Callithrix jacchus: one gene and its partner. The protein of the gene in region 1 interacts with the protein of each later gene in a pairwise test. Links are inferred from orthologs where the notes say so. Each region holds a gene or a part of one and is shown in the gene's direction. Other genes may lie near its edges. The genes, in order: CTNNA1 and ARMC8.

What was found.
Region 2: the proteins of CTNNA1 (region 1) and ARMC8 interact in a two-hybrid assay, tested with the Homo sapiens proteins (2 studies listed by BioGRID and IntAct). The link is inferred for Callithrix jacchus from reciprocal best matches to the Homo sapiens genes CTNNA1 and ARMC8.

Annotation. Positions count from the first base shown.
Region 1 is NC_133503.1:37,209,189-37,215,523, forward strand, and holds part of CTNNA1 (catenin alpha-1), read left to right. Parts: intron 1-4,317; coding exon 4,318-4,587; intron 4,588-6,335. UniProt on the Homo sapiens protein: Associates with the cytoplasmic domain of a variety of cadherins. The association of catenins to cadherins produces a complex which is linked to the actin filament network, and which seems to be of primary importance for cadherins cell-adhesion properties.
Region 2 is NC_133518.1:46,139,813-46,146,711, reverse strand, and holds the start of ARMC8 (armadillo repeat-containing protein 8), read left to right. Parts: upstream 1-2,483; 5' UTR 2,484-2,510; coding exon 2,511-2,555; intron 2,556-3,415; exon of another isoform or gene 3,416-3,488; coding exon of another isoform or gene 3,489-3,491; intron 3,492-6,899. UniProt on the Homo sapiens protein: Component of the CTLH E3 ubiquitin-protein ligase complex that selectively accepts ubiquitin from UBE2H and mediates ubiquitination and subsequent proteasomal degradation of the transcription factor HBP1.

The DNA of each region.
Region 1 (6,335 bases):
GGATTGTGGGGGCTGATTTCCCCCTTGCTGTTCTCCTGAGTGAGTTCTCACAGATCTGGTTGTTTAAAACTTTCCCCGTCGCTCACTTCCTCCTGCTCTGGCCATATAAGTTATGATTCCTTTCTCTTTGCCCTCTGCCATGATTGTAAGGGTCCTAAATGAACCCCACCTGCCACCTCCACCAGCTGTGCTTCCTGTATATCCTGTGAAACCATGAGCCAATTAAACCTCTTTTCTTTATAAATTATCCAGTCTTGGGTAGTCCTTCTTAGTGGTGCCAGAATGGGCTACTACAGGGAGAGAAGTAGGGTAGATAGAGTGGGCTTCCTTTCTCCTTGGCTCCATGAGTAAGGGTATAACAGTTGCTTGCAGCTTGGGGATGTTTGGCCAATGGATTGTGATAGTCTGGTGGTAACTTTGCCTTGGGGATGAAGGGAAGCTGTGGCTACTAACACCAGGAGCAAGACACACTCCAGCTATAGTTCCATTTCCAAGATGGTATAGCGCAGTAGTTGCATGGGCCATAGAGGGCAAGTCCCAGTGTTGCCCCCCTTCTTGGAGGGAACACAGCAGTGTGGACTCTAGGCAGCTCCCTCAGCTGGGCTTAGTGCCTATGAGAACTGCAGGGACAGTGGTGAGGTCTATATGTGTCCCAGGTATTGATGGGGGTTGCTGAGATCCTCTTGCTTACCTCCTTCCAGTAGGGAGGTTTGTCCTGGTTCCCAGATGATCCTGGTTGGGGTATAGGGTGGTGGAGGCCAGGTGTTTCCTTCTTTTTTCCATGTGGCCGCCTTGAGTTTTGTAACTAGGGTTTTTGTAAGTTCTCTGATGCACTCTGTGCTCTATCTCAGTTATTTTTGTTAAAATGTAGTTGTTTAATCATTGTTTTGGGTGTTGTTTTGAGGGGGATGAATGCTAGGAGCTTCTAGTTGGCCATCTTATGTCACGATTTTAAACCCTTTGTAAACATAAACTCAGTTACTATCTTAACAGAATAATGCGAGGTAGATACTATAACTGGTTGCATATTAATTTTAATAGAGATTATGTAATCTGGCAAGGTCTCTCAACTGACAAGTAGTGGAGCCAGGATTTGAACCCAGGTTATTTGGCTCCAGAGGACAGTGATACTGTTTTAATTCTTCCTATAATCCCTACTGCCTAGAACATTGCCTGGGTATAGTAGTGTTCAATAAATACTTAAAAACTGAATGATTAAACTGCTTTGCTGTACTGGAATTGGATTCTAAGTGTGATCCTAATCAGTTGCTTTCTAATTAAGTGTGGCTGGAATATTATTTGCTGACTAGAAGTGTTGAATTTCATTAGCTCTATGCTGTTCTTTGACTGTGAGTGTAAAAGTGATGGCAGAAGTAAGGATGAGTTGGCATCAACCCTGGCTCCTATGAGAAGGACCACCTCTGCCTCACATTGTCGACTCTGGCTTCCTAACATGCTAGTTATGTAATAATGCCTTGATGCTTACATTCCCTCCCTCCATGTACAGAGAGCTTATTGAGGTATTTGGTGAGAATGTAATGCTTCTTATTTATTACTTAGTCTATGAATTCTTGCCTTTTGTGATTTTTTTTTTCCTGAAATCTTGAACAGACACTGAATAGTGATGTTATTGTCAGTGTTTTATTTGTAAATAATTTGGACTGGTTGGATTATTTGACCATGGACACTTATTTAAGTGTAGCCATTTGTATCCAAGAGAAATCTATGGCTGTAGTTTTATATTGTTAAGGGAGAAATGAGAGGAGGCTTTCACTTGAATTTTCAGCTCTTGGTTAAACACAGTGTTATAGATTGCTTAGAAGTTAGCTTCTATTTCTTGGTGAATCCATGGGATGGATAGTTCAGATTACATTGAAAGCAGTTCTTTGACTGTTCCTGAGTCTGCCTAACCATCAGTGGATTGGTGAAGTTGGGAATTATGAAAGCTAAAGTAGACCAAGAGACTAATTTCATAAGTAATCTAATATGTTGCTTAATAGGCCACTTTCCTCAGTAATCTGGATTACTTATTGGCGTTATATATGTTGAAAAGAATACTTTTAATCATTATTCTTATTACAGTAAATAGTGCCGTATTGTGATAGTGTCTGTTTCTTTATGTAAGAAATTTCTTTGTGCTAAGGCAAGAACAGCTCTAAGAGAGAAAAAAGAATAGTTTAGCAGTCAGGACAAATGATGGTATTTCATTGTTATTTTCATCATAGATTAAAATATATCCCTCATACTTTGTAAATAGGAGTCTATCAGAGATACGGTATGATGAGGGCAAGACATTTAGAAAATGCCACACAGAGCATACGCACCAGCTGTTTAAGCATAATGGTTAGCCCTAGCTCCTTGTCATAACTCAAGTCTTGAAATGATCACCAGTTCTCTAAATCCACAGGATCCTGTTTCTGAATATTTAGCCCGATGTAGTCTTTGGAAAAGTAGAAGTTTGTACCATACCAGGCAGTGGCTTAGGAAAGTCATGAATTACTATTCAGCAATAGTAATTATGGTATCTACTAACTTGAGATGACCACGAGTGTCTTTGGTAACTAACCTTTAAAGAGGCTGTGCCGATCTACTGGGTCATAGATAGTTAGGAGGAATGCCAAAGCTGATTGTGAAGCATTTTTATAAAACAATGGACAATTTAGGTGCTTTAAGGCGAATTCCTTCCTAGAAAACTTTTAGAACCCCGGAGATTGTGGTGAAGGCATTTAGAAAATACCACAGAAAACATGAGCACCAGCTGTTTAAGTGTAATGTGTAGTTGCAGCCCCTTGTTGCTTGAGTCTTTAAATGATCACCGATTCTTTAAATCTACAGGGTCCTGTTTTTGAGTATTTAGCCTGATGTACTATGTTACAGGGCATTTGGAGTGCTGTGAGCTACTACTTGCAAATTTAGATTCCAAACGAGAAAGAATTCTAGGAGGAAAGTAAGCTGTCATATTATACAAGGTTTGAATAAAGATGCAAACCTAAATATATATACTCAGATGAAGTTTCAGAAAAAGGAAGCCAGTTTGGTGTCTCTAATGCCTAATTAGGAACTCTTAGAAAGATGAAGCACTAAATAGCTAAGTCAAACGGCTAATTGAGTAATTGACTTTGTCCTTTTTAACTTGGTCAATTTTCTCTTATTGTTTACACATGTAATACTCAAAATGTTTAAATGTATACTCTAGGATTCAGTTGATGACGTTAACATTGACATCTTAACATGTAAAATAGAGTTGGACTACATTTAGTGATCATTTAGAGTTATCGCTTGTATTCTTCTGTGGTGGTGATCCACTTTTATGAAAGCCTTTTTTTTTCCTTCTGAGTAATGTGAGTATAAGGGGAATACCAGAAATACCTGCTTCCCATTCCCATCTTGTTTATTTTTGGCATCACTTATTTGTCACTTAGCATATCTACTCAAGCCTATCAAGTAGATGCCATCATTAGTGGAAATGATGCCAAGGACCTCAGATCCTTCGTACTGTGAATTGTAATTATGGGGTAGAAGAAATAAAAAAAAAAACAAACAGTTTAAGACCACATCTATGCAGAGTATTGTAATCATAGATTGGGATTATGAAGCACTTACGTCTCAACTTTATGGCTTAGTGACCTGTGAACTGTTTAATGTACTGTGTATGAAAAGTATGGTTCTGTGTCCTAAAGTGGTCTTTGGGGTGGGGAAGGGGAGGGGAGGAGTTACATGCTTGTGAGAATAGCCTTGCCATATCATCACCTAGTTTATCTAGTTCATGCATACCTATGGTATCCTGGACCAAATTTCACAAAACCCTTAAAATGAAATTGTGTAACTTAATAAAAAATAATCCTCATAATAGGTCTTAACTCTGTTTGAATGTATTTCTTCATGATCTTTCTACTTTTGATTGGAATAGTACATATATCTATATAGAGTTGTAATCAATATGTTAGGGAGTTTTGTCTTTTATTTAATGCCTTATTGAGTGCTGTACTAAGTACTTCACATACATTGTCTCATTTAATCCTCAAAACAGTAAGATGCCTATTATTGCTTTTCTTTGACAGAAGGGGAACCTTAGCCCTGAGGGTTTGAAATAAGGTTACAAAATATCCAGGAGAAATCTAGGTCTGTGTGATTACAAAACTCAGAATCTTACCTGCTAAGCCATACTGGCTTCTTTGATTGACTTTCAACTAGATTGTTAATGAAGATAATGTGTCTAATTAGTAGAAATTCTAACTTTTCAGCATTTACTGACAAATTTTTATGTGAGTAGGACCCATATAAAGAGTACTCCGATTTCTTCTTTTACTCTTGTAGGAACTGAAAGATGTTGGCCATCGTGATCAGATGGCTGCAGCTAGAGGAATCCTGCAGAAGAATGTTCCGATCCTCTATACTGCATCCCAGGCATGCCTACAGCACCCTGATGTCGCAGCCTATAAGGCCAACAGGGACCTGATATACAAGCAGCTGCAGCAGGCGGTCACGGGCATTTCCAATGCAGCCCAGGCCACTGCCTCAGACGATGCCTCCCAGCACCAGGGGGGAGGAGGAGGAGAACTGGCATATGCACTCAATAACTTTGATGTAAGTTATGCTTGGGTGGAAATTTCTAGCTTTTGACCATCCCTCAAAAGATAACAGGTTTCTGGGGAAAAGTGATCAAGGCCTCTAATGATAGCTTAGTTTCCACTTAGATCTGTAATCTAAGTAAAAGAAATTATGAATCATCAGTTTACTTGGGTTTAACTTGGCCCAAAACATTTATTTTTAGTTTGAATTAAACTTTTGGATTCTTTTATGTAGCTTGTGTTTCCTGTGAGGTCATTCTTTATTGAGGATATGGGTTTGATTCATTTCAACCAAGATTTTGAACTGGCAGATATGAAGCTATGGTAGATACAGAAACAAAGTACACGTAGGGTCTGTCCCCGAGAGGCTGTGGTGTATTGGGAGACAGAGAAACATCCTAAGTGACTGCAGCAAAAGTACCATCATTCTAATCCTTGTTTGCCTAGATATACTTCTTTTCAATGACTACAGTGGAATAATGAACAAAAATTTAATCAAGTGGAAGCAAATTTGGGATTAAAATACTTTCTTAGCATAATGCCATAATTACTTTCCATAAATGATGCTCTAGGTCTGTCCTCTGTACACAATTCTAATGTTAATTACGTGGTGGGTTGTATGTTTTTAATTCCTACCCACAATGCCTCATAGCTTCCAGTAGATGGCAGCAGTTTAATTTTTTTTTTTTAAGGGCTTTAAAAGTAATGTTGGAGCAAATTAAAAACAAATAAAGGAAGAGAATTTGTGTTCCAGGTGGCCAGCATCCTTTCATAAAGTAGCGATGCTGTGAAATATAAAATAATAATAATAAAAATACAGTGGAGTACATTTTTTTTTCTGCCTTTACTTTTTCTTTCTTTCTTTTGCCACCTTACTTTTGCTTAGCTAGCTGATCCTTATTGATATGCATGGCTGATTTAAGACTTTTCATAAAGCAAGAAGGCATGTTAAGTCTAAAGATCTTGGTGTTAGAACTTAGTTTTTACCGTGAAGCTTTAAACATTAAATTATTTTATAACAAACTCTTACGGTGCATGTTAAAATTTACTAGCAATGTTGTTTTTTTTCCCCTCAAAATTTGGCAGCATTGGGTATCTTTCAAAGATACCCAAGTAGCACATTTTGCCCTAAGTTGAGTAATATCTACCAGAAACCATTTAACTTCTCAGGGCCACTGGTATTTATTTGTAAAATGAGGGTTTGTACTAAATGATCTCAGGCCTATTGAGGCTCTGTTACTGTAATAAAATTCTGTGACCATTCATTTCTCATTTTTGTTGGCCAGAAAGCATTTTGTATTCAGTTTTGGCCAGAGAAATCCTGTAATAACCTAATCTGGTAAGAAAAATGATCAGCTAAAATGTAGATTAATAATGAACTGAAGGTATTGCATGTTCAGTTTGAAAACTGAGGGTTCTTTGGAAGGGAAGGAAGAAATGTATACTTATTGGAAAAGGGCAAGGTTTTGGTAGAAAAAAATTTGGCATTTAAGTTGAAATCAATAAGGACATAGTTTCTATAAAGAAAAATTAAAGCCATAATATTTGCACAGACATTTATCAGTATGAGAATAAATTATATCAAGTAGAGAAATTGGAGGGAGACCAATAGCTGCTGTCTTGAGGATGCTGTTTCACCTTGTACCTAAAGCTTACTTGTGACCAGACCTCACTAAGCACTGAGAAAGCTGGATGTAAGTGGAGTCGGGAGGGGAAAGGGAGAAAGATAAAGGATTTATTTATCTATTTATTTTTTGTTTGTTT
Region 2 (6,899 bases), on another chromosome or scaffold:
CTACAGACTCTGCTTTTTTTTTTTTGAGATGGAGTTTTTCTTTTGTTGCCCAGTCTAGAGTGCAATGGCACAATCTCGGCTCACTGCAACCTCTGACTCCCAAATTCAAGCAATTCTCCTGCCTCAGTCTCCCAAGTAGCTGGGATTTCAGGCTTGTGCCACCACGCTGGCTAATTTTTTTTTTTTTTTTTGTACTTTTAGCAGAGACGGGGTTTCACCATGCAGGCTGGTCTCAAACTCCTGACCTCAGGTAATTCACATGCCTAGGCCTCCCAAAGTACTGGTATTACAGGTGTGAGCCACTGTGCCTGGCCAACCCTGCTTTTTTATATCAGGTTAAGGAAGCCCGTTCCGTTCTGTGCACAAATATAATCCAGAAGGGTAGAAAGTTAACAGCTCTAGGGAAATCCTCAACCAATACAGGATGGTAGTGGTGAATGAATGCCGAAGCTTCAAGATGGATAATCCAGAGAGGTATTCTGTATGTTTTTCAGAGGTGCTTGAGGAATAAACAGTGGCCTCAATAATGGACAATTATATTGAACATTTCTTCTTTCTTTTCTCACTCTCCCTGACCTATCAATTTTGTTCCCCAAAAGCACTTCCCAATAAAATACCTGCACCCAAATCTTTGTCCCAGGCTCAAACTAAGCCAAAAATTCATTCAACAAATATAAGTGACTGTGGAGGCACTGAGATAGAAAACCTAGAAGATAAAATTCCTAGTGCCTGTCCTGAAGTGTATAGTGAGACAAACAAGGAAACAACAAAACCACTCTACAATTGAAGTATGAAGGCATTGGGGGAAGGGTCATCTAACCCATGCCTGAGGGAGGCAATTCCTGGAGGACATACTGCTTGAGCTAATGGACAGAGTGTGAATCAAATACAGTTATAATGACTCTATATGCTACGTATTAGGGTTATGCTCTGCCCCATTGCAGTATACAGTACATGATGTGATTTTAGGTGGTCCATGGATGGAAATTTAAACTTTTTGTAATTAATGTGTACTGGAAGAAAAATAAGGAGCACAACAAACTTGATTTCAGAGTATTATGGTTTAGGATAAAGCCAGAATTTTTTAATGAGTTGCAATAGGCTTTAAATAAAAATACTGAATGAATAATAATACCTAGGTGCAGATTGGCAAAGATTTTGTAGGTGGTGTGCAGATTACCCAAGTTTCGGAAATAGTATTATAGCAGAAGGAGTGCCTACCTAAAATAAAATTCCTGGCTTCCAGGAACTCAACGGTTTGTTAAGGAACACAGACCCATAAGCAGGGATGATAAATACTACACTAAATTTGGAAACCACGTACAGGAGGAAGACAGGAAAACAGTGAGGAGCAAAGTGAAGGAGAGGCTACCAGCTACAAGACCAGTTGGAAAGCTATTTCTCTAGTCCAGGGGAGAGGTTACAACAACCTGAATTAGGGTGCGGCTATGGAAGGAACATTGCAACCATACTCTGAAAACCTTACTGGTTGCAAGCAGTACGAAGGTAAAACCTGTCCAACCAAGTCAAGGGCAGTGCTGCACACACACGCCATGGAGCAGGACAGCTGACTTAATCAACTATAATTAGATAATACTTTTATTTGGCTTCGGTTATCAGATAATTTTTGGTGTGAAATATTCGGATATTTGCCCCACTTTCCCCACTTGACTCAGAAGCTGGAGAAGCGCTGACACATTGTATAACGCTTCCTATGTTCTAGGCTTTTTCTGAGCGCTTTACGTTTATTGACTCCTCTATCCTCATTAACCTTTATTTTACAAATGAAGAAACTCGAACAGAAGGTTAGATAACTTGCCCAGGGTAAGGCAGCTAAGTGAAGTAGCTAGGAAGAAGCCGATCATTCTGGCTATTCTTAACACTACAGCAGAATAAACGCGGCCGGCACACAACGCTAAGGCAAGTCCCACTTCTGCATTGCATAGTTAAAAATCACTCTTAATGGTAGGCAAAAGACCTGGTTCTGGGATCGCAATTTCCCCACCTATGAAATGGAGATAACGACGCCGGGAGTTTGGTGCAGAATGAGATAATGAACATGAAAGTGAACTTCAAACTATGTATGTGGCTCCATGTACTGCTTTTTCCGAATATGCATACGCGAACCCACCAACTACAATTTATCAGTCGGTAGAGCTTGTAGCGCCAGAACGAGACTCCGCCTCTGGAGCCCCGCCCACCGCGAGCTGCAGGTGGGGCCGACAGATCTTCTTTGCGCATGCGGAACCGCTGCCCGCTCCCACCTCTAACCCAAGCTCAGAGTAGCTGCTGTTTCTGAGAGAACGATTCGTAGGACGGCCTCTGACGCGGTTCCCTTTTGCTCTTCTTTCTGCGGGCCTTTCCGGTACTTGAGCGGTGTCCAGAGCAAGGCTCGTTCTCGTCGTTCTGACTGCCTTTCGGGAGAGGTGCCTGTCGTTGGCCAAGAGTTGGCTGTCGAAAGTGCCGGCCCCCACGCCGGCGCCGGCAGCAGCCGGGTGGGAAGGCTCAAGATGGCGTGCCTGTTGGAGACCCCAATCCGCATGAGCGTCCTTTCGGTGAGTGACCCGCCGCGGCCGCCCGCCCGCCCTCCAGGGAGCCCCATCCCGGTGTCCACCATTCTCCCAAGCGTGGTGTGCCTCCTGGGCACCACCCCCTGGAGTGGCCCCCGGCTCAGTCTTGGGCCAGGGTGTGAGTGAGGGTGGACAGGCGGGATAGACGGGCAGAGGGGACCCCGGCGGAGTCAAAGACGTTTCCAACTCCGGGAGCTCCTGCCGGTGCGGGTTCTCAGGGTGGCGTCTTGCAGACGGGGTGGTTGGGCTTACAGACAACTGGCCGGGCAGCGCGGCTTGGACTTTGCCAAGCGTTTCACTGAGCCTTCCTTTTAGTGATGCAGCTTCCCGGGGGCCGAGCGCTCCGCCTTGTGAAGCGCCGGGCTTGCAGCCGGCCTGGGAACGAGCGCCCACTCAGCTCTCTGGGGCTTTGGCAAGAAGAGGTGCAGGCTCCTTGGCCCCCATTTCCTCAGAGCTGCCAGGCCAGATATATGTGGCTTCTATCGCGTCCCAGCACCTGGGCACCGGCTGAAGCTGTTTGCTTTTTGGCAATGGTGATTTCGTATCAGCTGCAACTCTTGCTAGTGTATGTGGTTATTTAAGCCCCTTTTCTCCGCTCTGCTCAGAGGTCGCGGCTCTGGGTCAAAGGAACTGTATGTTCCCTGTGCCTGGTATTCCTTTTTTCTTTAAGGGGAGTCAAACATTGAAGGGGGGAAAAAGGGGTGAGATTTCCCCATTGTTGAAAGAAGGGAACGTGTTGACATGCCAGGAAGTAAAACCTGTTTTTTTTTTTTTAAGTTTTGTTTTGTTTTGTTTTTTTTAAAAAAAGACGACTTTCACCTTTCACTATGTTGCTCTTGAACCAGGACCAGGAATGAAAGTTACTGGGAGATAACTTCGAAGGATTTTGCAACAAATTCGAGCTGTCCGACTCTGAGAATGGTCAGTTTACCAATGGTTCATTTGCTATTGTTGGAAACAAGCAGGCAAATACTGATTGACCATCTTTTAGACTTATGGAAGCCAGTCTGATACTGAGAGGGTAGTTGGATTATAAATGACTTGTCGGGTTCCTAGAGTCTTGTAACTACAACTGGTTTCTTTTCTCTTCCTTGAGTTGTCCCACAAACAAACTCACCTATCTGAAAGCACCTAGGACATTGGCTTATGATTCAGGGTTAGAGCAGCGTGGTAGACCTCAACCTTGAAAAGGCTTAAGTTTTCAATACAACAATAATTTAATTTTGTGAGACTTTCAACAGATTTTTCCCTCTGATCCATTTTAGCAGTCATTTTTTCTTATTTTTAAACTGCAACTAAGGAAATACTGCTTATCTAATCACTGAATCAGCTTAGCCTGTTACTCCACCACTGACTGTAATATCCAGGAATATTCTGTGGGAGTGCGAACCAATGACTTTTACCTCATTATGTTAAAAAAAAAAAAAAAGCAGTATGTGTCTTGGCTGTTCTCAGTTCCCCTTTAATTATTGATTTAGATTTCAGTTATCCTTCAGTTCAGCTGAAGCTTACTTTGTGGATGTTGTCAACTTGTATAATGCATATGATTAAAAATTTTCATTTGTTTCGCTTCCTTGGTAAATATTTTTTGCTTAATTTATTCAAAACCTTTTTGAAGAATATTTTCTATTAACCTATTTAGGCTTTGCTTTTATCCCTAGTCTCATTAGGGGCTTATTATTATTATTTTGAGATTTCCATAGTCCCAAAGTCTGGTCTGTCAGATCTTCACTCCTAGAGACGTGGAAAGTAGGAGCTTTGGATACATGATTTAAAATGTTTAAATTCACAGATTTTACTAATTTAAAGTGAACCCTGTACCTTTCAAAATACTACTCAGAACACCAAGGTTTTTGAAATGTGAACTAGAACAGGAAATATTCATCAGAAATTATCTTGAATGGTTGAGTCCTTTAATAGGCTACTATGTACCAGTTATGTACAAGCCCTGTATTGTGTACATTAGGGAATGTGAGGATGAGATCAGAAATGCATTTAAGGGGCTCATAGTCTGGATGACACTATAACTTCAAATGAAGATAATTTTAGCAAGGAGGCATTCAAGTTGTTTTAAAGGATTTCGATTTGAGTCTCTCTATACCTTCTCCTTGGGAGATCTCATTGATTTTCCTATAACCTTAACTGATCAGTTTACGTATCTACATTGCCAATCTTGACTTTCTTCTGCATCTAGTCATACATCTTCAACTGTGTGGATGACACCCATCAGTTCCAACAGCACATTCCTTCTCCTAAGGGGAATTAGTTATGACATCCCAATTTCTGATAATGGTATTATCTTTCAGTGATCAGTCCCCTTTTTTTTAAATACAGAGTCTTGCTCTGTTGCCCAGGCCAGAGTGCAATGGCACCACCTCGGCTTACTGCAACCTCTGCCTCCCATGTTCAGGCGATTCTCCTGCCTCAGCCTCCTGAGTAGCTGGGACTACAGGCACACACCACCACTCCCTGCTAATATTTTGTATTTTTAGTAGAGACTGGGTTTCACCTTGTTAGCCAGGATGGTCTCAATCTCCTGACCTCCTGATCTGCCTGCCTCAGCCTCCCAAAGTGCTGGGATTACAGGCGTGAACACCTCGCCTGGCCGATCAGTCACTGTTAAACCTCCTGAATGATCTCTGATTCTCCCTCCTTTCATCCCCCTGTACCTACCAGTTGTTAAGCTCTGTTGCTTCTTTATTCTTAGTGTTTCTCATATCTTTCTGTTCCCATGACTTCCCTCATTCAGGACCTTGTTATTTTATGCCTGCACTACCACAGTGTCCTTTTAGTTATTTTTACCGTCTCTAGTGTCTTTCTTACCTTCTCAGTGCAAGTTCATTTCTACATTAATTTTCCTGAAGAACCCTTTGCACAGCTGCTCCTGTTTCTTTTCTTTAGTGAATTTGTTTTGCCCAAAGGCCCAAGTTTATATTCAGCTTCAGATTTGAGATTTTTATCTTCTTCTTCTTTTTTTTTTTGAGACAAAGTTTTGTTCTTGTTGCCCAGACTGGAAAGCAATGGTGTGATCTTGGCTCACTGCATCCTCTGCCTCCTGGGTTCAAGCAATTCTCCTTCCTCAGCCTCCTGAGTAGCTGGGATTATAGGCACCTGCCACTATGCCTGGCTAAAAATACAAAATTTTTGTTAGAGATAGAGTTTTGCCATGTTGGCCAGGCTGGTCTGGAGCTCCTAACCTCAAGTGATCCACCCGCCTCCACCTCCCAAAGTGCTGGGATTATAGGTGTGATTCTTTATTTTCTACACAAGCCTCCTTTTCACTGGCTTTCTCAGCTTAGAGTGATACCAGGATTTTTCCAAACTCCAGTAAATCTTATTGTCTCTGTCTACTCATTTGTACATATGAATTTTAGCTTTGTATATATGTATTCTGTTCGACTACTTTGAGCTTCTGTCATTTGCTAGGCAGGCATGGTGTTGAGTTTGGTAATACCGTGGTAAGCTACACAGACCTCTGTCCTTTTGGAAATATTAGCCTAATGGGAAAAATAGTTATCAAATAATCACACAGTTTGTTTGTAAATGGTGATTAGTATTATGAATGAAATATATAGGGTGGTGTTCAAACATATCATAGAGGAAACTGATCTAATTTGAAGGGCAATGAGAAGAACTAGGGAAGGTTTCCCTGAAGAAGTGACACCGAGCTGAGAGTTTAAGGATGAGTAAGAACTAAGTAGAAAAAGTGACAGAAGAAGAGCATACAAGGCAAAGGGAATTGCTTTTGCAGAGGTCTTCAATAATACGGTATCTTTTCGTCTTAGAGAGTAAATTCATTGAGAAGTAATACTTTGTCTTGCAAATACTAGGTACTCAGTAAATGTTTGATTGAACTATCTATTTTGGAGGGTTGGACAAACTCTCCAGCTCTCTTTCTAAACTGCAGCATGACTACCCCAAGCCTCTTTGGTTTGCATTTAACATTACAACATCACCCTTTTCAACAAATTCATAAATTTCTCCCATGTTTTCTGTACTTTTGAATTATGTTGATTGCATTTTTAAAAATGTTTATTTTGAAATAATTATAGATTCACAGGAAGTTGCAAAGATAGTACAGAGGAGGTCCCTGTGTATATTTCACCCAGTTTCCCTCGTAGGTTACATCTTATATAATTACAATACAATATCAAAACAAGGAAATTGACATTGGTATAAGTATGTAGCTCTGTATCATTTTATTACGTACGTATATATATTCGTGTAACCATTATCACCACTGTCAAGATAACAGAAATATTGCATCACCACAAAGATCTCCCTCATACTCCCTCTTTATAGTCCCCCCTACCTACCGCCTTCCCCCAA